4 linked regions of the Notamacropus eugenii genome follow. The protein of the gene in region 1 interacts with the protein of each later gene in a pairwise test. Links are inferred from orthologs where the notes say so. Each region holds a gene or a part of one and is shown on either strand. Other genes may lie near its edges. The genes, in order: STK16, MIIP, RPIA and ADAMTSL4.

Region 1 (7,006 bases):
TTGGTGCCTCCATGAAACATGTACCTGAGACAGGGAAGGGCAGGGGTGGAACATGGTGTGACTTGCCTAAGTTATCTGCATTTGGAAGCTCAGTTAACCATCCCTAACCCTCTTCCACAGCCCACTTACATGTTCACATTTGCCCCCAACTCCAGAATGTCCTGTAGTGCACTGGTCACAGATTTTACATCCTTTGTCGAATGACTGCCACCCCAGTAGTCCAGCCAGCCCGTATAGTACTCTGAGTTCACCTGGAGATTTAGATGAAGAGAAAAGATGAGGGAGAAAGGAAAAGGGAACCAATCGAAGCCCTCTCTCATGGGCATTGTCTTCTGGCTCCCCTTCCCCGCCCCCCTCACCAGGGGCCCATGGGGCTCATATTTCCGTTGCATGGCAAAGATCTCAGTCATGTTGTCGGCTGCAGTAGGAATGAAGGGGTACATGATGTCACAGGTCGGAGGGCATCTTCCCCAGACCCTACCCATACCCACTCCTGAGGTAACCTGGGCCAAAGTCCACAGTGGAATAGAGTCCCTGTAGGGTGCCACAGCTGAGCCCTTGAGGCCCATCTGTGGTAAATAGGAAGATCTCATCCCCCAGCAGTGCCCGGAATAACCCAGCCAGGTGTCTCATATATCTGTAGTCACAGGCATAATAGCTGCCATATTCATTTTCCACCTGTCAGAGAGATGGGACAGTAAGTTTACACTGAAAGACCTTTTTCCCTACCCTCCCAGACACCTTTGCCTCTGCACCTGGACACTGATGATGTTGCCTCCATTGTGGTAGAGCCAGGGCTGCACCATGGGCAGCAAGACATGGAACCAAGAGTCCACTGCAGCAAGGAAGTCTAGAAGGAAAGAAGTCTGCCTGAGCTCCACCATGACCTTTCTCCCCAGTCAGCCTTCAGCTCTCCTGGAACAGAGATGGTCACAGACCCAGAGCATGCTTCACCTTGGGCAAAGGTCTCTTCCAACTCTCCTACCAAGGAATGTGGGAATCACTAAAAACTCAGAACCAAGCAGGGACCCACCTTACAGCTCACTGAGACTCTGACACAGGAAGCCTGGAAGTTTAGCACCTTGGAGTGCTACAAGAAGGAGGTAAAGCCATGCCCTTGTTATCAGTACAGGCATAAGGCTCCAACTGAGGAAAACAGGAAGGAAATGGAAGAGTAAAAGAAGAGAGAAGAGCAGACAAAACCCAGAAACACAGAGAAGGTGGCAAGGGTGGCATGCCACCAACACTGATGCCATTCAACAGGAGGGAGTTCCTTTCTTCTTCCCTAAAGACCAACCAATGCATCCTGTACAGAGTCAGATAGGACAGACAAGATATTGAGCTGATGGCCTTTGGCACCAGAGCCATTCTGTGTAAGCATTATAAAACCTGCTCTACTTAGCATATATATGCTTAATGATTTGCATCTTGGAAGTCAGAGACTACGTTTTGTCTGTTACCAATGCTAGCATTGTGCCTTTAAATACTTGTTGGACTGGATTGAAATGGACAGAATACTACCTAAGGAGGTGCTTAAAGTGCCACCATAAAGGAATATTAATTCAAGGAGACAGTCACTAACCCAGAGATTCTGAGCTTCAAAGAGGAACTTTAAAAAAAGGAACTATTAATGCCACTAAAGTGTGAAGAGACAGATTTCTCTCCCCTATGAACAATAAGGAACTGTTTGAAGACTTAAAATCATAAAATCATAATACCATCTATATTATTTGAATGTAGTATCTTTGAGTTTCCTAGGAAATTTTCCTTTAGCTCTAAAGCATGGAATTTTATGGTTAGAAGAGAACTGAGTTATCTAATCTGTTCTCGTTCCCCCCCCTCCCCTCCCATGAATCATAAAACTCTTGATAATATCTGTAACAAGTGATTGCCCAAGCCTGGCCTTGAAGGCCTTGAAGTGATGGAGATTTTCCCCAAGATCCACTGACCCACTTCTGGATGACTCTAAGGACGAGGTCTGAGTATCAGCTCAGGGCAGTACTTTTCAACCCTTTTGTCCTCATTCTTCCTTTTGTCCCCTTTTCAATACATTCTGTAGTACTTGAATATGACCTTAGTCAAGGAAACTTCCTAAGGAATTCTCCATAGGAAGGAACCTTATTTCCTGCCCTGCTGAATGACTTGATAAGAGCAACTGACACAGGTTCTGAACCACCATGTAAGGTGGCAGGAAACGTGATGGGAAAGGCCTCCCTACATCGAGGTTCCCTGCCTCATGCTATCTGGAGCAGCTGGATCAAAGCCAATTTCCTTTAGGTAGCAACCCAACTACATGAGGCTAAATGCCAAAAAGGCTTTCTTACTGGTTGAAATGTGCAGGTTAGGACCTGCTAACCAGGCCCATTTCAAAGTATCTGGGATGTCCTAATGACTTAGCAAACTTTTGCCGTCTCCTTCTGATTTTGTAGTGCCTGACCAGCCAAACTTCTGGTCTTCTATATGTTTTAACTCTGACCTTTAGTACCCAAACTCACCTGGATCTGAGGTTCGAAGGACAATGTCAGGTTTTCGAAGCAGCCAGGATGGGAGACCACCCTGAGGAGGACATAGAGACAAATATAGAAATAGATACAAATGGAAGTAAACAGTAAAAGAAGAGCTGATGAGTGAGGGTGGAAAGGAATGGGCTGGGTTGGTCGGTGAGAAATGACATGAATGATCTTTGTCCCGCCCCTTCTCCCACTCACCATTTCCCACTCTGCACAAATGTAGGGTCCAGGCCTCAGAATCACCAACAAGTCCTCACTGGATGCTGCCTTCAGAAAAGCCAGCAGATCCCGATTGCCGTGGAAGTTGTAGACTCCAGGCTGTGGCTCGTGATAGTTCCAAGGCACATAACTGGGGAGAAAGGGGTTAAGGGGCCCCACAGTGGGAAGGGGCCCAGGGAGGTTCCAGGTAATAAGCCCTACCCCCAGGAGCCAGGGAGCCTCAGGGGGTGAGGACATTCTACCATTCTTTTTCTCCTGTCACTACCATTGGGACAAGACTCTTAAGCATTGCGAGCCCCAGATTCCCCTCTGTGGATGCCTGGATGGCCTTCACAAAGCTGCAATCCTAGGAGCCTTTCTGCCACCGCCTGTCGTCGTCCCCTACCCCACGGTCCGCAGCCATCTCCCGCATGCATGCTGCTCGCCTCTGTCCTGCCCAGGCCCCGAAGAGGGGGTCTCAAGGATCAGGGTTCGGGGAGCCCCTTACACCTGCACCGCGTTGAGGCCGCTCATGCGCATCTTGTGGAGCCGGTCGGACCAAAGCTGGCTGGGGACCCGGGAGTAATGCAGGCTGCCCGACACGTAGCGGAACGGGGCCCCGTCCAGCAGGAACACGCCCCGCTCCCGATCCACCACGAAGGATCGGGGCGCTGCCTGGGGGGGCAGGAGAGAGCTGGGGAGCACGGGGGGGTCGTGCGCCGGGCCGCTCCTCCCCCAGCTCCGCGGCCCGCGCGGGCTCACCTGGGTCAGCAGGTGGAGCAGGAAGAGGAGCCAGAGCTGCCGCCCGGGGCCCATGGCGCGGCCCTGGCTTCCGAGCTCCAGGAAGGCCTTCGGCCACCTCTCGCGGCCCCGCTCCTGGGCGGGAGCAAGAGCGGCTGGGGGGGCGGGCCCCGAGCGGGAGACCTCGAGCCCCGCCTGTAGCAAAACCCAAGCCCACGCAACCCGAAGGCCGAGTAGGCCGCCCGTACTGGAAGGGGGATGAATGGGTGCCTGGAGCAAGGGATGAAGGCGCCTCGGGGAGGGGGCCGAGGGAGGGCGGCGGGAGGAGCCCGGGCCCGACCCCCGGAAGGAGGAGAAGGCGCTCCAAGGGCCTGGAGCGGAGGGGGAGGCTGGAGCCCAGCCCTGCGGCCCCCGATCCCTACCTCCGGCATGGGGGGGGCTGCCAAGGGCGTGGTAGGCTAAGGCCTGAGGCACCAGCACCCGGAGCCGGGCCGCCCGAACCCGGGCTCTGGGGTTCCAGGGGCTCCGCGGTCCCGGGGCCGCGCGGTTGCCAGGATGCGGGGGGGGGGGGGGGGGGGGGCCGTTACCGCGGCGCCGAGAGATGACGACACGCCGCCGCTTCCGGTCGCTGTCGCCGCTCGCGCGCCTCGGCCAGGTTCGCAGCAGCTCGGGCTCCCGGGCGGCCATCCCTGGGGCTGAGGGCCGCGGGAACTCGTCCCCCGGGGTGGGGAGGGCCCAGAGACGGGGGCAGGGAGGGGCCCCATCCCCCTCCTCCCTCGATCGCTGGCTGCAGCCCCTGCTGGGCGGAGAGGCACCGGCCCTCCTCCCCGCCTCCCCCACCGATCGCGGGGCGCCCTGGGGCCCCCCGGGAGGCCGGGGGACGGAAGGACGGGAGCCTCCGGGGGCCTCGGGGCCCGGCCTCAGCCCCCTTGTCCCGTGATCCCTTCGCAGCCCCTCGGACCGTCCCTGCCCCTGTTGGTGGGCAGCGTCCGCCCCTGCCCTGAGGATGACTGAGGCACCATGGGCCACACGCTGTGTATCTGCTCCCGAGGGACCCTCACTATCGACAACAAGAGATACCTCTTCATACAGAAACTGGGAGAGGGGTAAGTGCGGCCTGCTCACCTTCCACCCCCAGGCCGGGCAGACAACGTAGGCTCCCATATCTGTCGGAGACCCCCGCCGTCTCCTCCGGCTCCGCATTTTCCAGAGGACTAAACCTAAGCCCAAGGAGATCAGGTGACTTGACCAGGGTTCCATAGATGGTGTCAGAGATGGAATTTGAACCACCTCTGGCTGTTCTAAGTTCATCAGTCCAGTCCTAGAATGTAGGATCCAGAACCCGTTGGGAAAGCCTTACCCGGTCTGGCCAGCACAGACTCCCCTTGCCTACTGGGAGGGCTTGGTCTTGCCTTCAGAACTTCTGGAGCCCCCACCTAGGGAGGTCTCTGCTCTGGGGGGAAATATACCCTAGGGAACCTCTCCCCACATGGGTATTGTATAATGTGTCCATGGACCTTTGATTCTAAGTGGGTTCAGCTACGTGGACCTGGTGGAGGGACTGCACGATGGGCACTTTTATGCCCTGAAGAGAATCCTGTGCCATGAGCAACAGGACCAGGAAGAGGCCCAGAGAGAAGCTGACATGCACCGACTCTTCCAGCACCCCAATATCCTTCGCCTTGAAGCCTATTGCTTGACAGAACGGGGCTCCAAGCAGGAGGCCTGGCTGCTGCTACCCTTCTTCAAGGTGAGACTGGCTCCTAGTTGGGGACTGGGTAACATGGTTCTCTGGGGACTCTGAAAGTTTTAAGGAAGGACACTATGAGAAAGGAAACATGTGAATTGATGGAATCAGGATTTGTGTTTTGGGGCTTTGCCCATAGGCACTTATGGTTACTGAGTGAATGTGTTTGGCGTTTTGGGTTTTCATATTGAAGACCCTCATCACCTTTGGCAGAAGTCAGAACCCGAGCCTGGTAAATGGGGAGCCCCTTCAAATGAGAAGGAACACGTAGCCAGTCACGGTGGGAATTGGAAGAGACTTGTGTTTTGCAGAAGGGTACACTATGGAATGAAGTGGAAAGGCTGAAAGACAAAGGCAACTTCCTGTCAGAGGATCAGATCCTGCTGCTGCTGTCAGGCATTTGCAGAGGCCTAGAGGCCATTCATGCCAAGGGTTATGCCCACAGGTCAGTGGGAAGGTATCATATGCCTGCTGGGGAAAGGTGTGAGAGGAGGGATAAAATGAATATTTATCACGAGATAGGCCAAAGACCTTTTTTTTTCTGCTTTCTTAGCCAGAAGCCTGCCTGTGCTTCTTGAGTACATATGATTCCAGTAACACTCAACAGGGGGCCATCAGTCCTACTTCCTTTCTTACAGGGACCTGAAACCAACCAATATTTTGCTTGGAGATGATGGGCAGCCAGTGTTAATGGACTTGGGTTCAGTGAATCAGGCACGAATTCGAGTGGAAGGCTCTAGACAGGCACTAGCCCTGCAGGTGAATTCTGTTTATCGATGGAGATGGGGTGGGGTGGAACTAGCGCTGCAAGTCAGGCTACACTCCTCAGGATCTAACATGTTCCTTTTGAACATGGTGGTAGTATGACCCTTAACCCACTCCTACCTCCTGGGATCATTTTTTCCAGGACTGGGCAGCCCAACGTTGTACCATCTCATATCGTGCCCCTGAGCTCTTCTCTGTACAGAGCCATTGTGTCATTGATGAACGAACTGACATTTGGGTGAGCCTACAGGGAATTAGAGGCTTCTATCTACTTTGGAATGACTCAAGGGAAAAATGGGGAACATTTGCCTTACTTTCTACAGTTTGGGGCCCCAGGAAACCTGTCATGCTGGTCTTTTCCTCCACTTCCTTTCTATAAACTGGTGGCAGTGCACAGGAAGTGGTATAGCCAGGGTCTCTGAGCAGGAGTATGTAGGCCTGGAGGTGTTCAGCCAAAGCGCCATCTGTCCTCCACAGCCAGGGAAGATTCTAAACCCAAAGGGCAGCAGAGCTGAATTAGATCCCTGCTGCCATGGTGAGATGACTTGCAGCCCTTCTCACTTTGGCTTAAGCAGTTTCCTTTGCCCACATCAAGGGGCAGGAGGACAGAGCACTTGGCAGTGTCTGGCCCAGTACCTAGTAGATGATTCATAAATGGTTGCTGAGCAGTAGTTCCCTGGGTCCTATTTCCTAAGAAATCATAGATGTGTGCTTAGTCCCTAGGTTGTGTGCTGTATGCTATGATGTTTGGGGAAGGTCCCTATGATATGGTGTTCCAGAAAGGGGATAGTGTGGCCTTGGCAGTACAGAACCAGCTGAGCATTCCCCAGAACCCGAGGTGAGTACATGGAGGTGCAGAAGCTGTGGACTTTCTATGACATGGAAGACCTTATGCCTTAGGGGGTGGAGACAGAGAGAGAGAGAGAGAGAGAGAGAGAGAGAGAGAGAGAGTGTGTGTGTGTGTGTGTGTGTGTGTGTGTGTGTGTGCGCGTGTGTGTGTGTATGTGTTGTGTGTGTAGCTTGCCACATCTGTACTCCTCAGGCA
Region 2 (6,894 bases), on another chromosome or scaffold:
ACCTGCCCCACCTTCCCAGATAAACTCCAGTGTCTCCCTCTCCCCTCCAGGATCACCTCTGTTTGCCACTGAAAGCCTATTGCAGACCCCTTCCTACATTTCCAGTGTTCTTACACCTTACTCCCCTATACATGTGCTTTGATCCAGTGAAATGACCTCTCCTGTCAAGTCCTTCTCTTATCTCTGTGCATTTTTCTCTGTGTATTCCTATGCCTCCAGTACTCTCTGTCTACTGGCTTCCTTGACTTCTTTCAAGTCCCAATGAAAATTCCATCTTCTAAAGAAAGCCTTTCCCAGCCCCTCTCGGTTTTAATGCCCTTCCCTCTTGTAATTATTTCCTATTTATCTTGTTTGTCTATATTTGTCGGCTTGTTGTTTCCCCCATTAGACTGTGACACCCTTGAGGGCATAGAGACTTTTTGCCTTTTTTTGTGTCTGCAGCGCTTAGCACATTGCCTGGCACAGAGTAAGCAGTTAATAAATTTTTGTTCACTGACTGGCCTTCCGAAAGCAGAAAATCTGTGGCTAAAGTCACATTCAAATACTTTCCAGCTCAGTAGAACTTGCCAGGGCTTGAGCCCATGCTGGCTTGGTCTTTAAGAACTCAGGATCACCTCCACGCCAAGATGGCACATTAGAAAGTTCTTTGTGGAGAATTGATTATAACAAATAAAAGAAACAATTTTTATTACATAAAATATATTAAAGCAATTGCACAACTGTATCAGTGCATATCCCTAAAATAGGATTCCTTCACTTGGTGTCCATGAACTTTTTTTTAATCTTGATAACTATTTTTCAATATTGGTGTCCTTTATAGTCCTATGTATTTTATTTTATGCATTTAAATCCATTCTGAGGAGCCTAAAGGCTTCACCATGTTGGTACAGGGGTCCATAGGACAAAATGATTAAGGACTCTTGGACGAGATAAGAAGAGGTGTTAGGAATTGGTGGAGGGAAAATCAGCATTAAGCATCTCTGATAAAAGTCTGGTATTTATGACATATAGGGATTGACTCAAACTTCTAAGACTACAGAGGAAACTAGAATATACTAGATAAGTAGTTGAAGGGTATAAACAGTTCCAAAGAAGTAAAACTTCAACAAGTGCTCCAAGTCACTGCTAACTGATAGAGAATAAGAACACCTGAGGTATCCAATGGACCAGAATGGTAAGAGTTGTGAATTGTCCAGTTGTTCTGGAAACCAATCCGGAATTATGTCAGAAAAGTGACTTTTGTGACCCACCTATCCCCTCCCCCTCAAAGGAGGTCAAAGACAAAAAGGTCCCACGCGTACCGAAACATTCATCATAGTAGTTTTGGTAGTAACAAAAAAATCAGAAATCAAGGTGCCGTGAGACACAGCAAAAAGTTGTTTCCACAGAAGTTACTAGCTGATGAAGTCATTGAAAATAAGTCAGATAATAAGAAGACCAACAGACTCAACCAATCAAAAGACAGACAGTGGTCTTCAGAAAATTACAAAGTTCTTGATAAAGTAACCAAATCTACAGCTACGTGGAACTAGCCAAGAAAATGACCTAGAGTTACTTGGAAAAGGCTTTTCTTCACTGCGCTTGCTTAATGAACCTCATGCATATAAGCAGACATACCCCCCATAAAATTATCCCTCCATTTTCTGATCATAGGTCCTATGTTGAAGCATGTTTGGGACGGGGGATCACACACCAAGGCTGGTTACATAGCAGGCATGTAGAGAAGATGGGGACCTAATGTAGAATGGACCAATCCATCTCCTGGTGAGAGGATCTATCTTGAACTAACAGTATATAACTCATCTTGCTTCAGCATTCAGTGCTCCCTTCTTCCAAAAAGAGGTTAAGGGTCCCCTTTGGCCAAAGTACTCAATTCCTCTGAATTCTGCTGTAATAAATTTTCCTTGATACTTCATTAGTGTCAAGAGTGTCTCGAACAGCACTTCTTGGGGAGCAAACAAATTAAAGTTCATGTAGGTTGGGAAGATTAGGATGCCATATTGGAATGACAAATGCAGGATTAAGAAAAATGTGGGAAGATTTGCACGCACTGATGAAGATGAAGAGTAAAACCAGGAGAACAGTATACACAACTAAGAATAAGAGCACTTTACAAATATTATCTCATTTGATCTTGACAACAAAAATTTTATTCCCTTTTTTCCAGATGAGAAAACGGAGACTGAGGTTAAGCGATTTCGCTCTAGGTCAAATAGCTAATAAAATATATGAGGCTGGATTTGAATTCAGGTCTCCCTAATGAGACCCAGGGCTCTCTATCCCAGGTACCACCTAGCTGTCTGGCTATAATAATATGAATGAAAATAACAATAAATTAAATTAAACTAAAATAAATTAAAACCATAGAACTCAGATCAGATGCAATGAGATGCAATTAATATGCTATACTGTTCAGTACCATGTAATCGCTAAACTTGTACAAATTTGCACTGTGCTGTGAATTCTATCAACATAGGACCTTCCTTCTTTCTAAGATCTGGTATGTGGAATTCATGCTGGATTCAGGCATATGCACCTTCTCTGAAATTTTCCTTTTTCTAAGTGTAGAATTCTAGGCTTGAGGTAACTCAATTTTGTTTTGAAGTCAATTCAAGGGAGTTGCTAAGTCATGCGCCAGCATTCCATCATAGTGGAATGAAAGCCTGCTTTCCAAAGGCAGGAACTGTTTGTATCCTGAGAACCAGAACCCAGGGTCACATATAAAGCAAGTGCTTAACAAGAAAATGTTTATTGAATGTAATTGAGTATGTCTTATTTACAGGGACCTTCTAGATGTTACCCAGCCAATACACAGACATGATTTCACTGAATCCCTGAAATATCCCTGTGAGGTCTGCAGGTACTATTGCTGAGACTCAGAGTTGTTTTTTTCTTTTGTTTTGTCTAGGGGCACTGGTTAAAGACCAGACTTGAACCCAGGCAGATCTCCCTCTATCTATTCACTAACCACTGTTTCGTCTCTGATGGCTGATTTTGGAATACACTCCCTTTACCTGAGAAGTAGGGGTGCTGAATGATGAGCCCCCTTCATCAGTTGTGGTGAGCAGTCACCAAATGGCTTAACTTGCATCCTCATCCTAGCTAACATGTACGCAGCACCTACTATGTGCCAGGCGCATATTCCACAAATATTATCTTCTTTGGTCATCAAAATAACCTTGGGAGGTGGAGGCTATTATTATCACCCCTGTTCTACAGCTGAAGAAACTGCGGCAGAGCGTAAGTGACTTGCCCAAGGTCACACTGCTAGTGAGCGGCTGAGGCCCGGGGCTCCCCCACCGCCCCACCTCGCTGCCCGGGCACACACGTGGGTATGCAGCGGGGTGCACAGACACACGCCTGTATACGGCGGAGGACGGCAGGGTGGCGCCCCACGCATGTAGCCGTCGGCGTGGGGCCCGGCCCGGCTCAGACGTTTAAACGTCGCGGGGCTCCGGGCGCTCTGCCCCTCCCCTCCGTGCCCGCGCAGACCACGGGCAGGGCGGGAGGAGGAGGGCGCTGCCCGGGCAGCGCTGCATAAAGGCTTTGTGATGACGGGCCCAGCACCGCCCCCGCGTTGTCAGGGGTTTCCAGGCCAGCCCTAGACTGGGAAGGGACTCGGAGCCGAGGAGGGGCTCGTCACGTGACATCGACTGTGACGTCACCCGCCCCGGGATCAGTTAACTGAGGCCTACCGTGTGCCGGAAGGAGCCCTTTGCAGCCAGCGTAGAGCACGTGGCCTCTGGTCTCCAGGCGCCTCCAGGCTAGCGGGGGACACTTGGTACGGGGCTGCCGGGCGTGGAAGGAGCTGGGGGCGGGGAGGGGTGTGGGGGGGGGTCGGGGCCGGCTTCGCTGCTTGTTACGTGCTTCCCGCCCCCCTCTCCCCCGGGCCTCAGTTTCTCCAAGTGGGGGAGTCGGGTTTGGCTGGCCTTCCTGGAGGGCAACCCCAGCCTTCCCCCGTGCCCGGGAGGTGGGGGTGGGCCCGGCCGCCCTCGCCGCTTCCGCCTCCGGACGTCCCGGGGCGTTTCCGCGGGTGTGTGTTGTTGTTCCCCGCCCCGCCGCTGTGCCGGAAGCCCCGCCCCCTCCCTCCCGGTCTCGCGCCCGGCCAATGGGACGCCGAGGTCGCGCGCCCCGCCCCTGGGCCCCGCCCCGCGGCGTCCTTCTCAGGAGCTGGCGGCTGCCCCCGTTTGTCCGCGGAAAGAGGGGCCCGGGGTCCGCGGGTCGGAGGGGGGGCGGGGGATGGCCTTGTCCAGGGCCAGGAAGGGCCGGCGGGATGGGAGCCGGTATGTGGATGACTTCCGGGGCTGCCCCATTCCCCCGCGGGTCGGTGAGTGGCGCGCACCCCCAGGCCACGTGCGCCCCCGCCCCCCGGGGTTGGGGGTTCCCCGCCGGCCCCTCCCTCCCCTCGGCTTCCACGTGACTCCTGCCCACGTTCTGGCGCTGCGGTTGGCCTGGGGGGCCTCATTTCACTGACGAGGAAACTGAGGCTTGCTTAAAAAAAAACACCGCCCATCCAGGGCCTTGCAGGGGCGGCCCTGGAGCCTGAGCTGGACTGTGGGGGGAGAGGGGGCGAAGGGAGGCCCCCAACCTCCCACCCACGAGGCAGCCTAGTAGTCGAGGCCTCGCAGGGCCACTCCGCTCCAGCCTTGGTCCGCGTGGGCCGGGGGAGGGGGAGGGTAGAGGACCCCTGAAAGGGCTGGGGGGATCCCCGGTCTGTAGACACCACCTAATGAGGAAACCGAGGCCCGGAGAGCTGAAGTAGTGCCTTAGCCTAGAAGGTCACGCAGGGAATAATTGGCAGAATCCACGAGTGGGGCTGGGGGGGCTTTGAAATGATCCTCCTCTCTGGGCTGGGGTCTGAGGGCTGGAGATGGGAGGTAGAGGGCTGGAAATAGAGAAGTAACAATGTATCTCCCTTTCCCCAGAGCGTCCTGCCGGGTTACCTGCATTCTATCGGTGTTGTGGGAATAATTAGCTTATAATTCTTACAGTGCGGTGAGGAGAAAGCATAATTTGGAGTCAGAGGACCCAGGTTAAAATCCTGGCTCTTCCGCCTATAACCTGTGCCCTTATTTATATCCACCATTTAAACATCTCTGTACCTGAGTTTCCAAATTTGTAAAATGAAGGGTTTGGCTGTCTCGGATTCTAAAGCCTGCAGTTTGCATAATGAAAGGGACTTGCTTGATAATAATTCCCAACTTAGGGACCATGGTCACCTGCTGCCTTGGTTGTATGGAGGTGACCTGAGTGGATGGAAAGGGTGCTGACCAGGGTTCTTTGGTGGGTTAGTGGTAGTGTCCCCTCTGAACCTTCATTCCATTTTTCTATCTTCCTGGGTTAGACAATACCCCAGTCCCCTGGCTTCTTTTGCAGAAATTCCAGACAGCACATTCAAGATGCCAGAGTCTGAGAACTTGACCCAGCTTCGGAAAATGAACCTAGAGCTCCTCCGGCAGCTTCGGGTGGGACAAGAGGAGATCCGGAAATCTGTGGCCTGGGCCAAGGGGTCAGTCCAGCAGTTCCCAAAGCTCAAGAATGATGAGGTAGGTGCTTACTCCTGGGACTTGTCCCAGTGTTTGACCTGTAACAGGCTCCTTAACTGTTTTTTGGGCTGGAGTCCTGGAGAAGAAAGAAGGGGAGAGAAATGGGGGGGTGCATGGAGACTGGAGCAGAATTCCCTCCTCTGCTAGGGGAGCAGCCCCTTGTCACTAGAGTCCTGGTGCTGTCGAGATGAAGAGACTACGGTGTTGACTGAACACCGCAGCCAGTCGGGCCCCTGCCCAGTGCCTGGCACTGCCTCTGGGGACAGAGATGCCTTGGAGCAAGAACAAAAGAGCAGGAGCCAGGAGCCAGCCCCCCAGAGCAGCCTGTGTAACATTGAGACTGTGCAGAGTGTGAGTCCCCCCAAGGCCCCTCCATCCAGCCAGCCCTGGGGTCAGGAACTCAAGGACTGCCGCAGACCTGGTTCCAGACCCACTTCAGCAAGCTTGCTGTCTTCTCCCAAGGCCTTGGACTTGGGGCCCACCATTGATCCCCTGATCTCTGGTGTCCAGAGGCCGTTCTATGAAGCAGAAGGCGTGGGAAGCCTAAGGTCCATCCTGACTACTCAGCAGTGGAACAACTTCGAGGTAAGAGAAATGGGAGGTGGACCAAGGTGGGACAGCAGCCACCATCCAGTAATGGGCCCTGAGAGAGAAGGAGGCCGGTTCTGTTCCTCCCTGCAGGCTCTTCTCCTGTCCCAGAATGCCCTTTCTCCTCTCTCCCGAGCTGCTTGAGCCTCCCCTGTCCTCACAGCACATGCACTTGTGGGCCCTTGGCCTGCTCATCCTGGCTTTGGAAGCCTGCAGGAAGTGGGTGAGGCCATCCTGATGCACTCTGGCATCCTCCAGCAGCTGTCACAATTAGCTTGGGCTCCTCTGGCATCCAAGACCTCCCCACCCTGCCTTTTGTCTGTCCAGGGGAAGGTATGGACTACGCAGTCCCGTGGCCTGTTCATCCTTGGGGTGATAATCCAGAGGGGCATCTCCCTGTGGACATTTGCTGAGTGCTCATTCTGTGCCAGGCATTGGGGGTCCTATACGTCTGGATCATCCATGGTCCCTGCCCTCTGGGTGCTTGTAGTCTGGCAGAGGAACGCAGGGAAAGTGTGCCATAAGGCAGGAGTTGTGACAGGTGGCCCTGTCCTCTCAGGCCTCTCAGGTACCTCCCTGGTTGGGTTCTCGATCCACTAGCCTGCAGCCACACTGGCCGCCTGCGTCTTCAATTCTGTGTGGGGAACAGTTGCCCTACTGGCTGCAGAAGAAGAATTTTCTGATTCCTGATGAGAGCTGGCATATGAAACCTTATTTAGGTTATGATGTGATTGCCGGTGAGTCGGGATATACTCACAGA
Region 3 (7,456 bases), on another chromosome or scaffold:
AAGTCAATGGAAAATGCCCTTTAATCGGGCAGTGATATGCAGCTCTTGGACGGTCAGCCCTGCTACCAATACCAATCTGGTATGGGCCTTGTGAGTGGGCAATGGGTTAAGCCCAGAGCTCAACAGGAGGAGAAAGGGATGGACTGCTGCTGTTCTCTCAATGACCCCAAGTTTCTCCCTGAAACAAAGACCTATCTTTTTTCCACAGAAACAGTCTTCTGGTGATGCTGTATTTTACAATAAGCCATGGAAATCTACATTCTCCTAAGAACACAAGCTGAGGAGCACTCACGGAACAATGGGCCATAGAACTGTCCAAGAGAAGAAGCCAAAGTTGTTCTCCAAGACCTGAAAGGTCAGGATGGGGCTGGTCATGTAGTGAACCTAAGGGATAACCCATGAACGGCCCACACGCTCCACTGAAATTCATATAAAGTCAAATGAATGAATGAAATACATTAAATGTTTACCAAGGGCAAAGGCTATCAGGGGCAGGGTCCAAGCAGAAGAACTCAATGAAGATAGTGAGGAGAACAATAAGGAAGATGTCCAGGGGCTCCTCTTCCAAAGATGACATTGTAATCACTGCATGGAGCCCCTGAACGGCTCAGAACCATCTAAATAAGATCTTGAGTAAGTACTTTGGCACTTGGAGTGGGAGTGGGCTCCCAACACAGATAACAGGGCGCAAAGGTTAGGCGGAACGAATGAATTTCAACCTGTATCACTAAAGTGTAGAAAAAAGCCTGGAGAATACCTTGTTACAACTTGTGTGTGCTGAGGGTCTCAGTTTCCTCATCTATAAATGGTAGAGGTGGGGGGAGGATTAGAGATGATCTCAAGGCTTTCAACTAAATTTATGTTCAACTACTTCCTCCTCCTCCCCCATGATAAATGCATATACAGATAATAATGGTGGGTCTAACTGTAAGGGGCAGCTAGGTGGGACAGTACATAGAACGCTAGGTATGGAGCAGGAAGCCTCATCTTTGTGAGTTCAAATCTGGCCTCAGGCACTTCCTAGCTGTGAGACCCTGAGCAAGTCACTTACTTGCTGTTTGTCTCAGTTTCCTCATCTGGAAAACGAGCTGGAGAAGGAAATGGCAAACCACTCGGGTATCTTTGCCAAGAAAACCTCAGAAGGGGTCACAGAGAGTTGGACGCGATTTTAAACAACTGATCAACAAATGATTTTAAACTTTCCCACAAAGATCTCCAAGAGATCCTTTTTGATTTGAGGGAGCCCCTAGTAGAGTGCCCTTGCCCACTGGTGGTAGTTAAGTACCCGATGAACACATACAGGAATTTCAAAGGGAAGTGGGACTGAACAGCTTGAACATCTCATAAAAGGAAGCAGGGTGGGAGCCAGTCAGAACGGCCAAGCCCAACGTCCCCTCCCAGTAAGTCCCCCTGGAGCCCGGTGGCAGTGATGGGCAGAAGGCCGGACAGGGGTCCAGGAGCCTGCTGGGGAGGGGAGGTTTCTGTCGCCCCAAAAGAGCTAGACCTCGCTACCGACTCTGCCAACGCGGGCGCGCACACGATCAGAACTTCACCCCACAGGAATCTGCTTTAAGATGCAGGATAGACTAAAAGGGGAGGGGGCTCCGAGTCTGGGTCCTCTTCTGCTCTGAATACACCCCAGCACCCCCCGGGTACTCCAGGACAGCACTGGCCACGCAAGGACCCCCGACCCGGCGAGGCGCGAGGTCCTGCCCGCACATTCACCACCTTCCGAAGGCGGAGGCGCAGAAATGGGGTGCCTGCCAGGGTGCCAGGGCACCGGGCAGGACCAAGCCCGGGAACTCCCACGGGGCAGGGATATTCTCCTTCCAGGAGGGATAATGGACATAATTAACTTGATCGGTTGTAAATTAACTCAAGGAAATGGGCTCCGCCCAACTTTTTTCCCCAAACAGTTCTCGGGAGCCGGCTCACATCTTTATAAACAGGCATTTTCGGGGCTGAGGCGGGGGAAGAAAAACCAGGACTTCGGCAGACCCCGGCCCACTGCGGGCCAAGGTCGGCCCGCCCCCTGCCCCCCGCCCCCCGCCCCCCGCGGCCTCCTTGCCTCACCCCGCCCAAGTCTGTAAGCAGGCTACAGGTTCCCTCGGACCCGGGCCGGAACCAGGCCGAGGAACAGGACCGAGCGGCACCTGGAGCTGGGGGGATCTGCCCCGCCTCACCTCCCAACACGCTCCCGGACCCCCAAACCCCCGGGGTCCAGTGTGCGGATGAGGAAGCCGCCCAGGCCGGGGCCCGCCACATGGCCCGCTCCGCCCCCGCCTCGTGGGTCCCCCGAGTCACTGGGGGGGCTTCCCCGCCCGCCCCGCCCTGCTCCCCTCCAAATCCAACTTTCCGGGGGGCCGCCTCTGGCCCCCTCCATCCCACCAGTGGCGGGCACGCTGGGGCGCCTGCCCTCGAGGGGCTTCCATTCTAGGACCGGAGGCTGCCGGGCACAAGAGACCCTCCCCGCTCGCCTTTTACAGATTGGGAAACTGAGACTGGGAGCGGGGTTCCCGGAGCCTGGGCGCGCCAGGGGCGGGATTCGAACTCGTCTCCCAGCGGCGCTCTCCACGGCGCGGCCCCGGGTGGAACCTGGAGGGCTTCCCGGAGGAGGCTGACCCGGGGCGGGGGGCACTCACCTTCACGTGGTTTTCCACGGCCGCGCGGCCGGCCTGACGCTTGGCTTCCTCGGTCTTGGACATGGTCCGGGCGGCGAGTGAGGGAAGGAGCGGGGGCGCGGGAGCGAGCGCGGGAGCGGGAGCGAGCGGAGCGCGCGCCGGGGCCGCGGCCGAGGCCACTAAGTGTCCGCTGCCCCCGCCCGAGGGCTGGCGCTGGGGCGGCGGCACGTGCGGCTCTCCCGCGCGCCAGCTCCCCCCGCCCCCGGACGAGGCCCCGCCCCCGGCCCCGGCCCGCCCGGGCAGTGGGGCCAGGACCCGCCCGTAGAGCGTGCTGAAGGGCCCCGGGCGCTGCATCCCTGCCTCCGCCGGCCCAGCCGCGCCTGCCTCGGCTCGCCCCGCCCCGGACCGCCCCGGAAATCGGGCCCGCTCAGGAGGGAGGGCGCCGCGCGAGCCGGCGCCGCTGGGAAATGTAGTTCGGGAGAGGGGCAGACCCCCGCAACTGTCCGGGAGCTCGGACTACCAGCCCCAGAAGGCAGCGCGCCTACGGCCTCACGGCTGTCCGGGGCACGCCCCGGCTTATCCTATCCTGGTCTGAGAACACCTGCTCACGTGCTTGAGCCCCGAGGCGGCCTTGGAACCAGAGGCGGTGCGCACAAGCACGCGCCGGTTGTACAGGTGCAGCTAAATGACTCGTCCGAGGTCACCACGCCGAGGGGGGCGGCAGGTGCATTTGAACCAAGGTCTTTGATCCAGCCGCCAGTGCCCCCCTATGAAATGGGGGGCCCCCAAGGACAAGCCTCCTTTGGCGTGCGTGCCCTCGGTGGAAAGAGCGCTGGCCTGGACCCCAGCCCTCGACGCTCACCCTGAGACAGTCGTAAAGGCTTAGCTCCGAGTGTGAAGATGGGGGGATAGCGCCTCCCTCTCGGGGTTGTTGCCAGGATTAAACGAGATCACATTGGTACGTGGCTTCGCAGACCTTGGAAGTGCTTTGGTTATCCAAGCGGGCAACCCCCCGAGGTTACTTTTGAAGAAATTAAATAATAATCGCCAACAGAGCACCGAATAAATGAGCGGAGGGAAGAGCCTTTGTTAAGTGCCAGGCCCCAGGCATGGGGCCCAGGCCACAGACACCAGAGCGCTAAGACCTCGCGACTTCGCCTTCCACGTGGAGAAGAGCGCACGTGGGTGATGGTGGGGGGCTGGGGCCTGCGGGAAGGTCGTGGAATTCATCAGCCTGGGGATGGGGCAGTGGAGGCGATTGAGGGAGGGAAGGAGCTACAGGCACCTTCTCATCGGATTAAACGTTACACCTTTTATATAGATAACCCCCTCCCACAGGGACTTCCATCTCCCACCCCTTTTTGAAAGGATGACCCATGGTCCTCAGTCCCTTCATCTGTCAAGAGAGGCGTGGGAAGCATGGTAAAAGCGCAATAAATCTTCCCAAAGATTAAGTGAAATAATATTCATAAAGTGCTTCACAAACTTTAAAGCTAGCTGCCTTATTACTATTAAATTAACAGGGAGGGGGGAACCCAAGGGACCTGCAGGTCAGGCAGTATGTAACTCCATGACGTCAGCAGTCACACAGCTGCCACATTCTAGAGTGCTGAGATCTGGTACATGTGATAACTGCCCAAACTGGTGGAAAGGGATTGGAATGCTAATGGCCTGGAGAAGGAGCTTTCTTTTTTCTTTTATTTTTTTCCACATTCATTTTTTATTAGATTTTGAGTTCCAAATTTTTTTCCCTCCTTTCCATTGCTTCTCCAAGTAATCTGATATAGGTCATATGTGTGCAATCGTGTTAAACATATTTCTACATTAGTCATGTGAAGAGAAAAACAGAACAAAAAGGGGGAAAAAAACAACAAAAAATTAAAAATAGTATGTTTTGATCGGTATCCAGACTCCACAGTTCTTTCTCTGGATGTGGATATGTGGATAGCTTTTTTCTTCATGAGTCTTTTAGAACTGTCTTGGAAGAACTAAGTCTGTCAAACTCGGTCATCACACATTACTGTGTATAATGTTTTCTATGTTCTACTCACTTCACTCAGCATCAGTTCATTCGAGTCTTTCTAGGTTTTTCTGAAATCTGCCTGCTCATCGTTTCTTATGGATCAATAGTATTCCATTCTATTCGTATACCACAGCTTGTTCAGGCTTTCTGCAGTTGATTTCCAGTTCTTTCCTGGACACCACAAAAAGAGCTGCTATCAATATTTTTGTACATGCAAACCCTTTGCCCTTTTTTATCATCTCTTTAGGATTACAGACCTAGTAGTTGTGTTGCTGGATCAAAGGGTAGGCACAGTTTTATAGCCCTTTGGGCATAGTTCCAAATTGCTCTCTAGAATAGTTAAATCAATATACAACTTCTAAATCATGAGGAGTTTTCAAAAAGGGGTCAAAGATGAAATCTGCAAACTATATGGTCCGGGCAACTTGACTTATATTCCTGACAAAAATCTAAAACACATTTTAAAAGGTTTATTCTATATCTTTTTTTAAAAAATCACTTTTATTTCTTCAGCTCTGTTCAGCAGTTTGTGCCAAGCCAATGGATATTGAATTCTGGGAATGAATAACCCATGGCTGTTTGTCAAACTGGATGGAGTGCCAAATCTAGAATCAGGAAGACCTGAGTTCAAATCCAGCCTCAAACCCACTACTTGTGTGGACAAGTCACTTAACCCTGTTTGCCTCAATTTCCATGTCTGTAAAATCAACTGGAGAAGGAAATGGCAAACCACTCCAATATCTTTGCCAAGAAAACCCCAAGTGGGGTCTTGGAGAGCCGGACACAACTGAAATGACTCAGCAGCAACAACAAATCCATGGTTGAAGGCTGGCAGGGCAAGATCTTTGATAGAAAAGTGGGACAAGAAGACAGTGTAGACATTAATTGGATCCCAAAGGGGTCAAGATAAGAAAAGGAGGAGAATGTAGCTAATGAAGGGGTGATGGCTTGAGAAAAAAATGAGAAGTAAAGGGATTGGAGATTGTTATGAGGAATACTGTTAAGGGTTACAAGGCAGAAGGAGAAGTAGAATGATGTTAAATTATGATCAGATGAGGGAATTCAAGAGATCATGAACTTGGAAATTAAACACTTACAGGAGATGATCAGATCAAGAGTTTAACTGTGTAGTTGAGATGGGGTGGAGAACTTTTGTTGTTGTTCAGTCATTTCAGTCGTGTCTGACTCTCTTTGACTCCATTTTGGGTTTTCTTAATAAAGATACTGAAGTGGTTTGCCATTTCTTTCTCCAACTAATTTTCCAGATGAGGGAACTGAGGCAAATAGGGTTAAGTGACTTGCCCAGGGTCATACTGCTAGCAAAGTCTCTGAAACCAGATTGGAATTCAGATCTTCCTGATTTCAGGTCTGGCACTGTATTCACTGCACCATCTAGCTGCCCTGAAGTTTAGAGGCCTAGGGTTCAAATCTTAGTTCTGCTACCTCCTGTTTTTTGGGGTTTTTTTTTAATTGATAAAGTCATTTAAGTTCTATGGGCCTTGGTTTACTCCTTTATAGAACAAAGCGTTGGACACAATTGTCTCTAATTCCTAAGCTCCTTTGTCCCCCAATATCTTCTCTGCCCCATCATGAGCCCTCATGCTACTGTGATGTTTAAAAAGTTCGAGACATGGTTCCTGGGTAATTAGTCATTTTATTAATAATGCTAGCATTTTGTTAATAAAAGGATTGGTCGCTTGACTGTCTATCTCAGACTGAAGATGAATCATGGTGGTGGGCTCACAGTTTACATGCCCTTGGAAGAGTGGGTATTCTTGAGGGTGTCAATCAACTCTGATTGATTGACAATTAATGGAGAAAATTAATATTACAATGAGAGGTAGACCTAATGAGGGGCTGGGGTGGGGGATGTAATTGATTACATCATTTACTTCTCAATTGCCCAGCCTAGGGAATTTAATCAAAGAATTTATCCCCACCCAAAACTGTGTAGAGTAAATGGGCTTGATTAAATTCTTTGTAAGGTTGGGTGGGGTCCGAAGAACCAAGAGGAGAAAGTTAATTCAGTATCATTATCAGCAGTGACCTTCAGAGATTTAACAACCTACAGAGTTCTGAAAAAATCCTGGTCCTAAATCAATAATTGGTTATATGAGGGAGAAATAATCATTTATCTCACTGCTTGGTACTCAGATAGGGAAGGACTAACTGGAGCTTAATTCCTGGCCATGACAGGGGACAGGGGGAAAGAGGAGAAAAGGATCTCCAGCTCTTGGGGAATCAGATCTAACCACCTGTCTGTGGGTGTATAAGATGAAGACTGACCATGGTACCAAGATATATTGTCCAATTTGATGCTGACTGTGGATACTAGAAGATAAATAAAATGGGTGATTCCATGGAACTGGGTATATGCTCAGGCCCTGCAGGGATGAACCTGCTCCTTGACTTCTTGCTGAGTGAAATGCAAGGCCTTCACTTTGCTGAGACAATGCAGCAACTTGTATTGGTCCCCACAATCGTAGAACTGTATAATGGAGTCTAGATGGCGAAGTGGACAGAACACTGGACATGGAGTCAGGAAAGCTTGAGTTCAAATTTGGTCTCAGATGCTTCCTAGCCATGTGACCCTGGGCAAGTCACTTAACTCTGCCTCAGTTACCTCAGCTATAAAATTGGGGGGTTGAGGGGTGATAATAGTAGCTCCTACCTCACAGCATTTTGGTGAAGACCCATTGAGATGATATTTGTAAAGTCCTTAGCACAATGCTTGGCACAAAGTAAGTGCTTAATAAGGCACCTGTTCTAGGAGATTGTGTCCAAGGGGATTGGCCACCAAGTATCATGGGGA
Region 4 (7,510 bases), on another chromosome or scaffold:
GCATTTACTAAGGCCTGCCATGTGCAAATAAGTCTCTATGTCAATCAAAGCTCCAGTTGATATCTCTCTAGGCAGAGAGCACTGTGCTGAGGTCAGGAAAGGAAGGAAGGAAACAAGCATTTATTAAGAATGTATGTGCTAGGGACTGAGTTAAACACTGTACAATAGCATCTCATTTAATCTTTACAACAACCCTGGGAGTTATTGTCCCAGTTTTCCAACTGAGGAAACTGAGGCAGGCAAAGGTTAAGTGATTTATCCAGGGTCAAATTTGTATCTGAGGTCAAATTTGAACTCAGGTCTTCCCGACTCTAGACTCAGAATTTTATTTACTGAACCACCTAGCTCCCTACTGGGGAAGCTGAGACTGGTAGATTGTTTGAGCTCTGGAGTTCTGAACTGCAAATGGGCTCAAGTTGATTGGGTGTCTGCACTATTGGTAGGCCCCTGGTAACAGAATGCCACCATGCTTCCTTAAAGAGGGTGAAGCAATATAGGCTGGAAGCAGAGCAGATCAAGCCTTCCATCCCCATCAGCAGAGCCCTCCCTCACTTAAATCCAATTCACTTGCAAGTCAGGATATCACCTTCCTGATTTCATGGTCCTCTTCTAGAACAAAGGACAAACAATGAAATAGGACCAGGGGTAGGGAGACCTGGAATCTCTCCCCAAAAAATTAGGTAAAATTTTAATGGATAATCAATGGAAGGAGACATTTCACGTGAACGAAAAGGTGTTGCGCTGGACCTGAGACAGTAAATTTTAAAAGTAGTTCAATTTGGCAGGGCTGTAACACACAATGAATACTAGAACAGTGGCATCCTGCTAGAGATACAAAATATCCAATCAGTCAAACATTTAAATATAATAATATATTCTGATGTGGCTTTACAGGTTTCAAAGCATTTCTGCAAAGCATCTCAACAGAGATGTTGGGTTTTATGGAATTTATCTGGGATTATGGAATCACAGATTTAGAAGCAGAAGGGAGCTGAGAGGCCGGAGAGTTCGACCCCTTTATTTTACAGAAGAAAACTGATGAGCACGGCGTGGGGCGATAGTGGGAGTGGGGAGAGACAAAGTACAGAAGAGGCATCCGAGAGGAATGGAGCGGGGCAGGGGAAGGGAATGAGAAGGAAGGAGAGAAAGGGGGGAGAACAGGAGGAGGGAAGAAGAAAGGAAGGGGAGAAGAGGGGAGGGAAGAGAAGTAGGAGGGAGCGCGCAAAAGGAAGGAAAGGGCAGTTTCAGGTGCTAGTGGGAGTGGAGAGATACTAAATATAGAGGAGGAAGAGGAGTGGGGAGGAGGAGAGGAGAGGGTCCCCAGCCCTCACAGCGCTCACAGTTTTGACCACCCAACTCAGCATCCCTCCACAAGCCTCCTCCCCATCTTCCCCACGCACACGCGGATGGGAGAGACACCAGGGCCCCAGGCTCCAGTCCAGGTGCGGCAGCTGTCCACTCCCCCCGCGTTTCCCGACGGGGCCTCCCCCAGCCTGGCCAGCCGCCCTCCTGGAGTCTTTGCCTGGATAGCCCCAAGCAGCAGAAGAAGGGAGGGATGGGCAGCCGGTGCTGCACCTAAGGGGAGGCGGGGACCTGAGGCCCGTCCCGTCTATCCTTAAAAAGGAAGTTGGGGCGGGTCCCACCATTCCAGACATTGGCGAGGCGCCTCAGAGCATCGCCCTTTTCAGAGCCGTCCGAGGGTCCTGACCACCTGGCCGGACTGCCCCGCCCACGCTCTGTCCAGTCCAGAGGACCCCAGGTTGGCGGTGAGGGTCGGAGTCCCTGCCCAGGCACCCGGGGCGTCCCAGCTGGGGCCGGCTGGCTGGAGCAGCCGAGCAGGGATCTGGTGGGACGGGAGCCCACGCGGGAGGGACGGACGGACAGACGGAGGGAGGAGCGAGGGAGGAGCCTCGGACGGGGGCGGAGCCCGAGCTGGAGGCGCCAGTGACCGGGAGCCCGGCTCAGGGGCCGGGCCGGAGCGGCCGGAGAGGAGTGGAACGGAGCTCGGACGGGGAGCCGGAGAGCGGAGGGGCCACGAGCCGCGCGCAGGTAGGACCCCCGCTGCCCGGCCCGCTCCCCCGGAATCCCGTTAGATCGCTTTCCTGGAGCGCCCCGCCCCCGAGTATCCTCGCTCCTAACCGAACTCTGTTGGGGACCCCCCCAAACTTTCTCCGGCAAAGGGAGCCCACCTCTCCCCATCCATGATCAGATTCAGCGTCCCCACCCCAATACATGCACAGCGCCCCTTCTCTCCATCTTCACTCCAGTCAGGACAGTTCTGTTTCCCCCAACGCTGGCTTCCCAGGTCCGACTTGGAATTCTGTCTCTGAGGAACTGACGGGGGGTGGGGGGGAAAGGAATGCAGGTGGCTGGCAATCCTTTTTTTTTTTGCCTCAGACCCCTAAGGGTGGGAGATAGGGGTGGCATCCTGGATAACAGTTCAGACTCCAACATAAAGGGAAAAGGGAGCAAAAGGGGAAGGGTATTCAAGAAAATTGGACATTAAAGTGCACCCCACCCCCCATCAACACATTTTCCATCCCAACATCTCCAAAAAACCCTAGGAGGAAGTACAAGGGTGAAAGGGCTATTCCTCTTCTAGTTTCTGGTTTGCTCTTTGATCTCCACTAGACTGGGGAGGGGGTGTGGCCATAAACAGGTCAGTTCGGGATGGTCAGATAGCAGTGCCCATTCTGTAATCAGGGAAACTTCTAATGACCTCTGCTAACCCCCAGGTTGGGCAGAAAGGTACCAAGTGATTAGAGAGGCCAGAACTGAGGGGAGTACAGACTGCCTCTATATCTGTCTCTGTCTCTCCCTGCAAGGGGGGAGAAGGTATCGGCCCCCTGCCCAGCTGTGTTGGGGAGGGTGGGGCCGGGGACTTTTCCAGAGAGGGAGCCAGGCCTGGCCCAAGCCCCAGGAGCTCACGTCACCCCCACCCCTCTGGCCCCCACTTCTCTTGGGAACAGCCAGAGCCAAATCGAGCTAGGAATGGGATTATGTGTACTAAGTAGAGACCTGGGGAGCCATAGGCATAGACCTGGGGTGGCAGGGATATAGATCTGGGGGAGAGATAGAGAAATGGCCAGCAGACCATTCCTCCTCCAACTGGAAGTTAGTTTGGTTATCATCTCTTTTCTGCTTCAAGGTAAGGGCTTTTATCTCTTCCCTAAGTGAGCAAAGGGTTAGGAGCAGACAAGTAGACATTTATGTGAAAGTATGAAACCCTCTCTCATCCACCCTGCCTGGAACCCCACCATGGCCCCCTGCCCCATAGGCGTTGTTGCTGACCTCAGCAGGGCCAACCCAAACCCTGGGGAAGGGAGGAAGGGGCTGCCAGGCCCAGGCAGAGATGACCCCAGCCAGTTCTGATCTGACCAGTCATTTCCCTCCCCCACATTTTCAAGTCAATGGGTAATTGCAGGGAGGAACAGTAAAGATGAGCACAGATCCTTTTTATGCACCTCCATCCAAAATCTGTCTCTTTCATTCTTTCCCTAACCCCATGGTTGGCCCAGTTCTGTTTTGGTCCCTTGGACTCCTCTCCCGGGTGCTTCTTAGCTCCAACAGAAACAACTTTTTTTTTCCTGGAAAGCAGAACAGAGAACAGGGGAGGGGGCCCAGGGCTCAGAGTCTAGGCAAAGGAGGGAGGTAGGGAGCAAGAAAGAGGAGTAGCAAATCCACAGCTTCACCAGGGCTTGGAGTTGAAAGCTCTTGTTGGTCTACATAGGATCAGAACTAGATTTTAAGTAGGACTTCCTTACTTTCCAAAAAAGGGGGAGCCAAAGGCTCTTTGCTGCTTAGGATTTCTCATTGCAACACCTAGCACATTATCTTAGTTGGGCAAATTGATGAGTGACTGAGCTAAGACAGGGGCTTCTTCTGGATTGCTTGGGCCAGTGGTTCACATCCAGCTACAGAATTGTGCTACTGCTATTTAAACCATCAGCCAGTTTACTTGATTTACAGTTTGAACTGGAGGCAAGAAAAAGACAAGAGATTTCTAATCTTTGGACCTGTAGTCCAAAGGAAAAGCTGAACCAAAGGATATGAAAGTAGGAGACCTCCTGAGAAGAGAGAACCCAGTGGTATGTACCCTCTCTTGGTACCTGCTGAGGTGGGTATGTAGAATGTGCCCTGGAAGCAAGAGGACTCCTGACGGATGGAGCTTGGTACTTGAGCCGGGATAGAAATACCAGAAACCAGAGATTAGGAAAGGGAGATTAATTAGGGTATTGAGGGATTTGGTAGGGGGCAGTGAGGAGAAGGTAAAAGGGATGACTGGGAAAACCAGAGCATTGGGACCCTCAGCTTTCCAAGGGAAAGAAAGAAGACAGCAATCCTGGTCTCTCAAAATAGGGACAGAGAAGAGGAGGAGGTATTAGGTAGTGTTATGTCCTAACTTCTGTCCTTAACCTTGAACATTTTTATTGAGGGGACATAACCCCTTCAGGTGTCTAGAGAAGAGTCAGGGTAACCTTTATTCCTGCCTTTCTTTCAGGTCTTTCTTCACATCCTAAGCCCTCTAGATTTCTGAGTAGTGTGTTATCTCCAGAGGACTGGGGAGATTAGGGAGAACGATGGAGAAATGGGGAAGCAGGTAAGAGGTGAAAATGGGAAGGGGTAGTGGGATCTATCCCTGGGAGGTACAGGAGAAGAAAGCAGAAAGATGGCAAGGGTGGAAGAATGGGTAAGTAACCCCTTCTATTTTCTGACAAGCTGTGAGACCAGATGTAGGGGGCCAGGCTTTGTACCAGCTGTTCCAGAAATCTTAGTGCCATTTTAAGCTTTCATAAAGCTAAAGTTGCAATAGATATGAAAGCTTACAACTGTACTAAGACTTCTGGGACAGCCTGTATAAGAACGATTGTGACCTCAATTCTAGCTATTAACTTTGATTACTGACTGCCTCTGGCTCCTCAGACTAAGACCGCCTCTTATGCTGCTCCTGCTCCTTCCTCAACTCAGCCTAGACCAGAAGGTCAGTGAAGAGGTTGGAAGGTTTTGCCTGCTCACCAACCTTCTAGAACCCTGTCTCCCCAAGAATTTCCTAGAGCCCTTTGCTCACCCCATGTCTCCCTCCTCATCTAATTCCCCAGGCCCTTCCCTATTTGATGCCCCAGTCATTCCCCCCATTCCCATGCAGGTTACTCCAATCCCTCCTTGATTTGTCTCTTTTTCTCCCAAATAGATATCCCCTCGCCACTCACGACAAGCACATCCTGAAGAAAGTAAAATCCCTGAGGGTGTCTGGGGTTCATGGGGTCCATGGTCCCCTTGCTCCCAGCCCTGTGGGCTTGGGATACAACGCCGGAGTCGAATCTGCCAGTCACCTACATCTTTACTCCAAACCGGGTTGCCTCTACCACCCAGGCCACCTCGACATCCGGAACCCTTGACTGCTCGATCCCGGAACGCCAGACCCCAAACCCCTAGGGAGACCCTCCCTCTCTACAAGCCGGAGCCAAGGGGGAGAAGTGGCCCTCTAGAACAAGAGGAGGCTAGAGAGACCTCAGCCTTAAGGAGGTAAGGGAAATGAGGTGGGAATTGAAGGTGATATATCTCAGCAGGTAGATAAGATTGTGAATGGAATAGGTGAGCCTTAGAACAAGAGGAAACTAGAAACTGGGATAGGAAATGAAGTTGATTACAGGAGTGAGGAACAGAAGAGATTCAAAATGTTAGTTATATGGGAGAAGTAAGCAGAACCATAACTCTGTAACTATAACAATTTCCTAGGTCACGTGTTCGAGATCCTATCAAGCCAGGAATGTTTGGCTATGGGAGAGTTCCCTTTGCTCTTCCCCTACATCGGAACCGGAGGCACCCACATGGACAGCCCAAAACGGAATTCCCCAGTGATGAGGCTCCTCAGACTCTATTTCCAGAGGCAGAACTCCTCCAAGACTCTAAAACAGAGGATTTCCGAGCTCTGACTGTCAAAACAGAACCGCCTGTTAATACTCAGCTCCCCCAAACCCAGATCTCTTCTACAGTACTGCCCCCCCAGGAAGACCTTTACAGTCCCCAGAATCTTGGGACAGAAACACCTCCTAATACCAAGTTTCTAGAGTCGCAGATACCCCCAAAGACAACCAACTTCAAAGCAAAGTCCACCCCCACCCCATCCCCCAGAACAGGCAATTCCCTTAATCAGGTCCACCCACAGAGATCACATCATTCCCAGCAAATGGGACCAGAATGGAGAAGATCCCCCCATCCCTCCTCCTCTGCCCCCCGGGGCCAGGGCCGAGGCCAAGGTCATCAGAGAAGGAGAGAGCAGTGGGCACCCAGAAATGCCCATCAACAGGCTGTTGAAACTCCCCCTCACCATTCAGAGAGTTGGCTGCCTTTACTCAGCTCTGGCTCCAACTCAGGTCCCCTCTGGAGCCTTTTTGCCCCCAGTGCCTCTGCCCTGAACTGTCCTGGAGAGAAGGAGCAACTGAGAGCCTGTATCCAGAAGGTGAGCTCTGCCTTGATCCTGGATCATCTAGGCTTCTAGATGTTCCTAATTTGCATAGAAACCAAAGCTGTGCTCCAATAATTTGGGGGAAACTGTTCTGGAAAAGAGTGAGGGATCTAAATTGGGATCTAAGGTCCCAATTTATCTTATCTAGTCCTGAGGATAGATAACCCTCATGTCTGAGCCCTAGCTCCCTCCTTTGTAGGCCTCCATTTTCTCCCTGGGTTATCATCTCCTAGATCTTTGTCGGGAGGCCAAAGGGCATACTCTCCTAGTTTCTGATTCCTTCTTTCCCCTCTGCAAATCACTCCATCCCAATCCTCAACTGCTACCCTCCTATTGTTTTTTTTCTTAGCCCTGACAATTCTGTTTCCCCCAACTTCAGCCTTGCCCCCCTGAACAGCCAGATCCACGGGCCCTGCAGTGTGCCGCCTTTGATCCTCAGGAATTTATGGGCCGACTCTACCAGTGGGAGCCCTTCACAGAGGGTGAGAACTGAAACCCAGGACCCCAAGACTAGGGAGGCTACACGTTGGCCCCTTTCTAGCCCTGAAAATCTTCCATTTGTGCATTATTTTCCTAACTGTATCTCCTGCCTCAGTTATCCCCTCTTTTCTTTAGTTTCTCTCTTTGAGGCATTATATGCCCATGTGGGAGAGTCCCCTTCCCTACAGGACAGGGAAAGGGGATATATTTTCCCTGAATTCCTTAATTTCCGCCTTTCCCTCCCCATCAGGCAGTCTGTGCTGTTTACTTAGCCTGAGTGGCTGGGCGAGCGAGGGGGCAGGAGGGGAGGTGGGGTATATATAGATGGCTCTTTGTGCTTCAGAGGTCTCTGCCAGTACCTAGGAGGGAAAGAGGGAGGGGATGTGTGTGTGCGTGTGTGTGCCTTGTGTGTTTTAGGGGAAACTAGGTCTGTATGATGCCTGATCTTCTCAAAAAAGCAAAGCAACTAGAAAACGATGGAATCATGCTGAGGGAAACTAGCCCCCTACAACTGAATGGTTTTCACTGTCCCCTCTGGCGAGGTCAGCTGTATCCAGAGGT

The links.
Region 2: the proteins of STK16 (region 1) and MIIP interact in binary tests that used the Homo sapiens proteins (3 or more experiments, as listed by UniProt). The two-hybrid records come from large-scale screens. The link is inferred for Notamacropus eugenii from reciprocal best matches to the Homo sapiens genes STK16 and MIIP.
Region 3: the proteins of STK16 (region 1) and RPIA interact in binary tests that used the Homo sapiens proteins (3 or more experiments, as listed by UniProt). The two-hybrid records come from large-scale screens. The link is inferred for Notamacropus eugenii from reciprocal best matches to the Homo sapiens genes STK16 and RPIA.
Region 4: the proteins of STK16 (region 1) and ADAMTSL4 interact in binary tests that used the Homo sapiens proteins (3 or more experiments, as listed by UniProt). The two-hybrid records come from large-scale screens. The link is inferred for Notamacropus eugenii from reciprocal best matches to the Homo sapiens genes STK16 and ADAMTSL4.

Annotation. Positions count from the first base shown.
Region 1 is NC_092877.1:317,731,660-317,738,665, forward strand, and holds the start of STK16 (serine/threonine-protein kinase 16), read left to right. Parts: upstream 1-4,006; 5' UTR 4,007-4,036; coding exon of another isoform or gene 4,037-4,213; exon of another isoform or gene 4,214-4,302; intron 4,303-4,306; exon of another isoform or gene 4,307-4,400; 5' UTR 4,401-4,469; coding exon 4,470-4,555; intron 4,556-4,979; coding exon 4,980-5,199; intron 5,200-5,507; coding exon 5,508-5,641; intron 5,642-5,834; coding exon 5,835-5,955; intron 5,956-6,103; coding exon 6,104-6,199; intron 6,200-6,677; coding exon 6,678-6,799; intron 6,800-7,003; coding exon 7,004-7,006. Other genes in the region: GLB1L (beta-galactosidase-1-like protein), read right to left, coding at 1-24, 130-418, 504-678, 756-850, 2,496-2,556, 2,709-2,859, 3,217-3,383, 3,471-3,584 and 1 more. UniProt on the Homo sapiens protein: Membrane-associated protein kinase that phosphorylates on serine and threonine residues. In vitro substrates include DRG1, ENO1 and EIF4EBP1. Also autophosphorylates. May be involved in secretory vesicle trafficking or intracellular signaling.
Region 2 is NC_092876.1:51,471,992-51,478,885, forward strand, and holds the start of MIIP (migration and invasion-inhibitory protein), read left to right. Parts: upstream 1-3,880; 5' UTR 3,881-4,108; coding exon 4,109-4,283; coding exon of another isoform or gene 4,284-4,327; intron 4,328-4,416; exon of another isoform or gene 4,417-4,649; intron 4,650-4,815; exon of another isoform or gene 4,816-5,032; intron 5,033-5,376; coding exon 5,377-5,546; intron 5,547-5,693; coding exon 5,694-6,131; intron 6,132-6,693; coding exon 6,694-6,871; intron 6,872-6,894.
Region 3 is NC_092872.1:724,333,869-724,341,324, forward strand, and holds the start of RPIA (ribose-5-phosphate isomerase), read right to left. Parts: upstream 3,012-7,456; 5' UTR 2,976-3,011; coding exon 2,643-2,975; intron 1-2,642. UniProt on the Homo sapiens protein: Catalyzes the reversible conversion of ribose-5-phosphate to ribulose 5-phosphate and participates in the first step of the non-oxidative branch of the pentose phosphate pathway.
Region 4 is NC_092873.1:304,419,510-304,427,019, forward strand, and holds the start of ADAMTSL4 (ADAMTS-like protein 4), read left to right. Parts: upstream 1-4,501; 5' UTR 4,502-4,580; coding exon 4,581-4,600; intron 4,601-4,923; coding exon 4,924-4,981; intron 4,982-5,191; coding exon 5,192-5,526; intron 5,527-5,739; coding exon 5,740-6,463; intron 6,464-6,848; coding exon 6,849-6,951; intron 6,952-7,510. UniProt on the Homo sapiens protein: Positive regulation of apoptosis. May facilitate FBN1 microfibril biogenesis.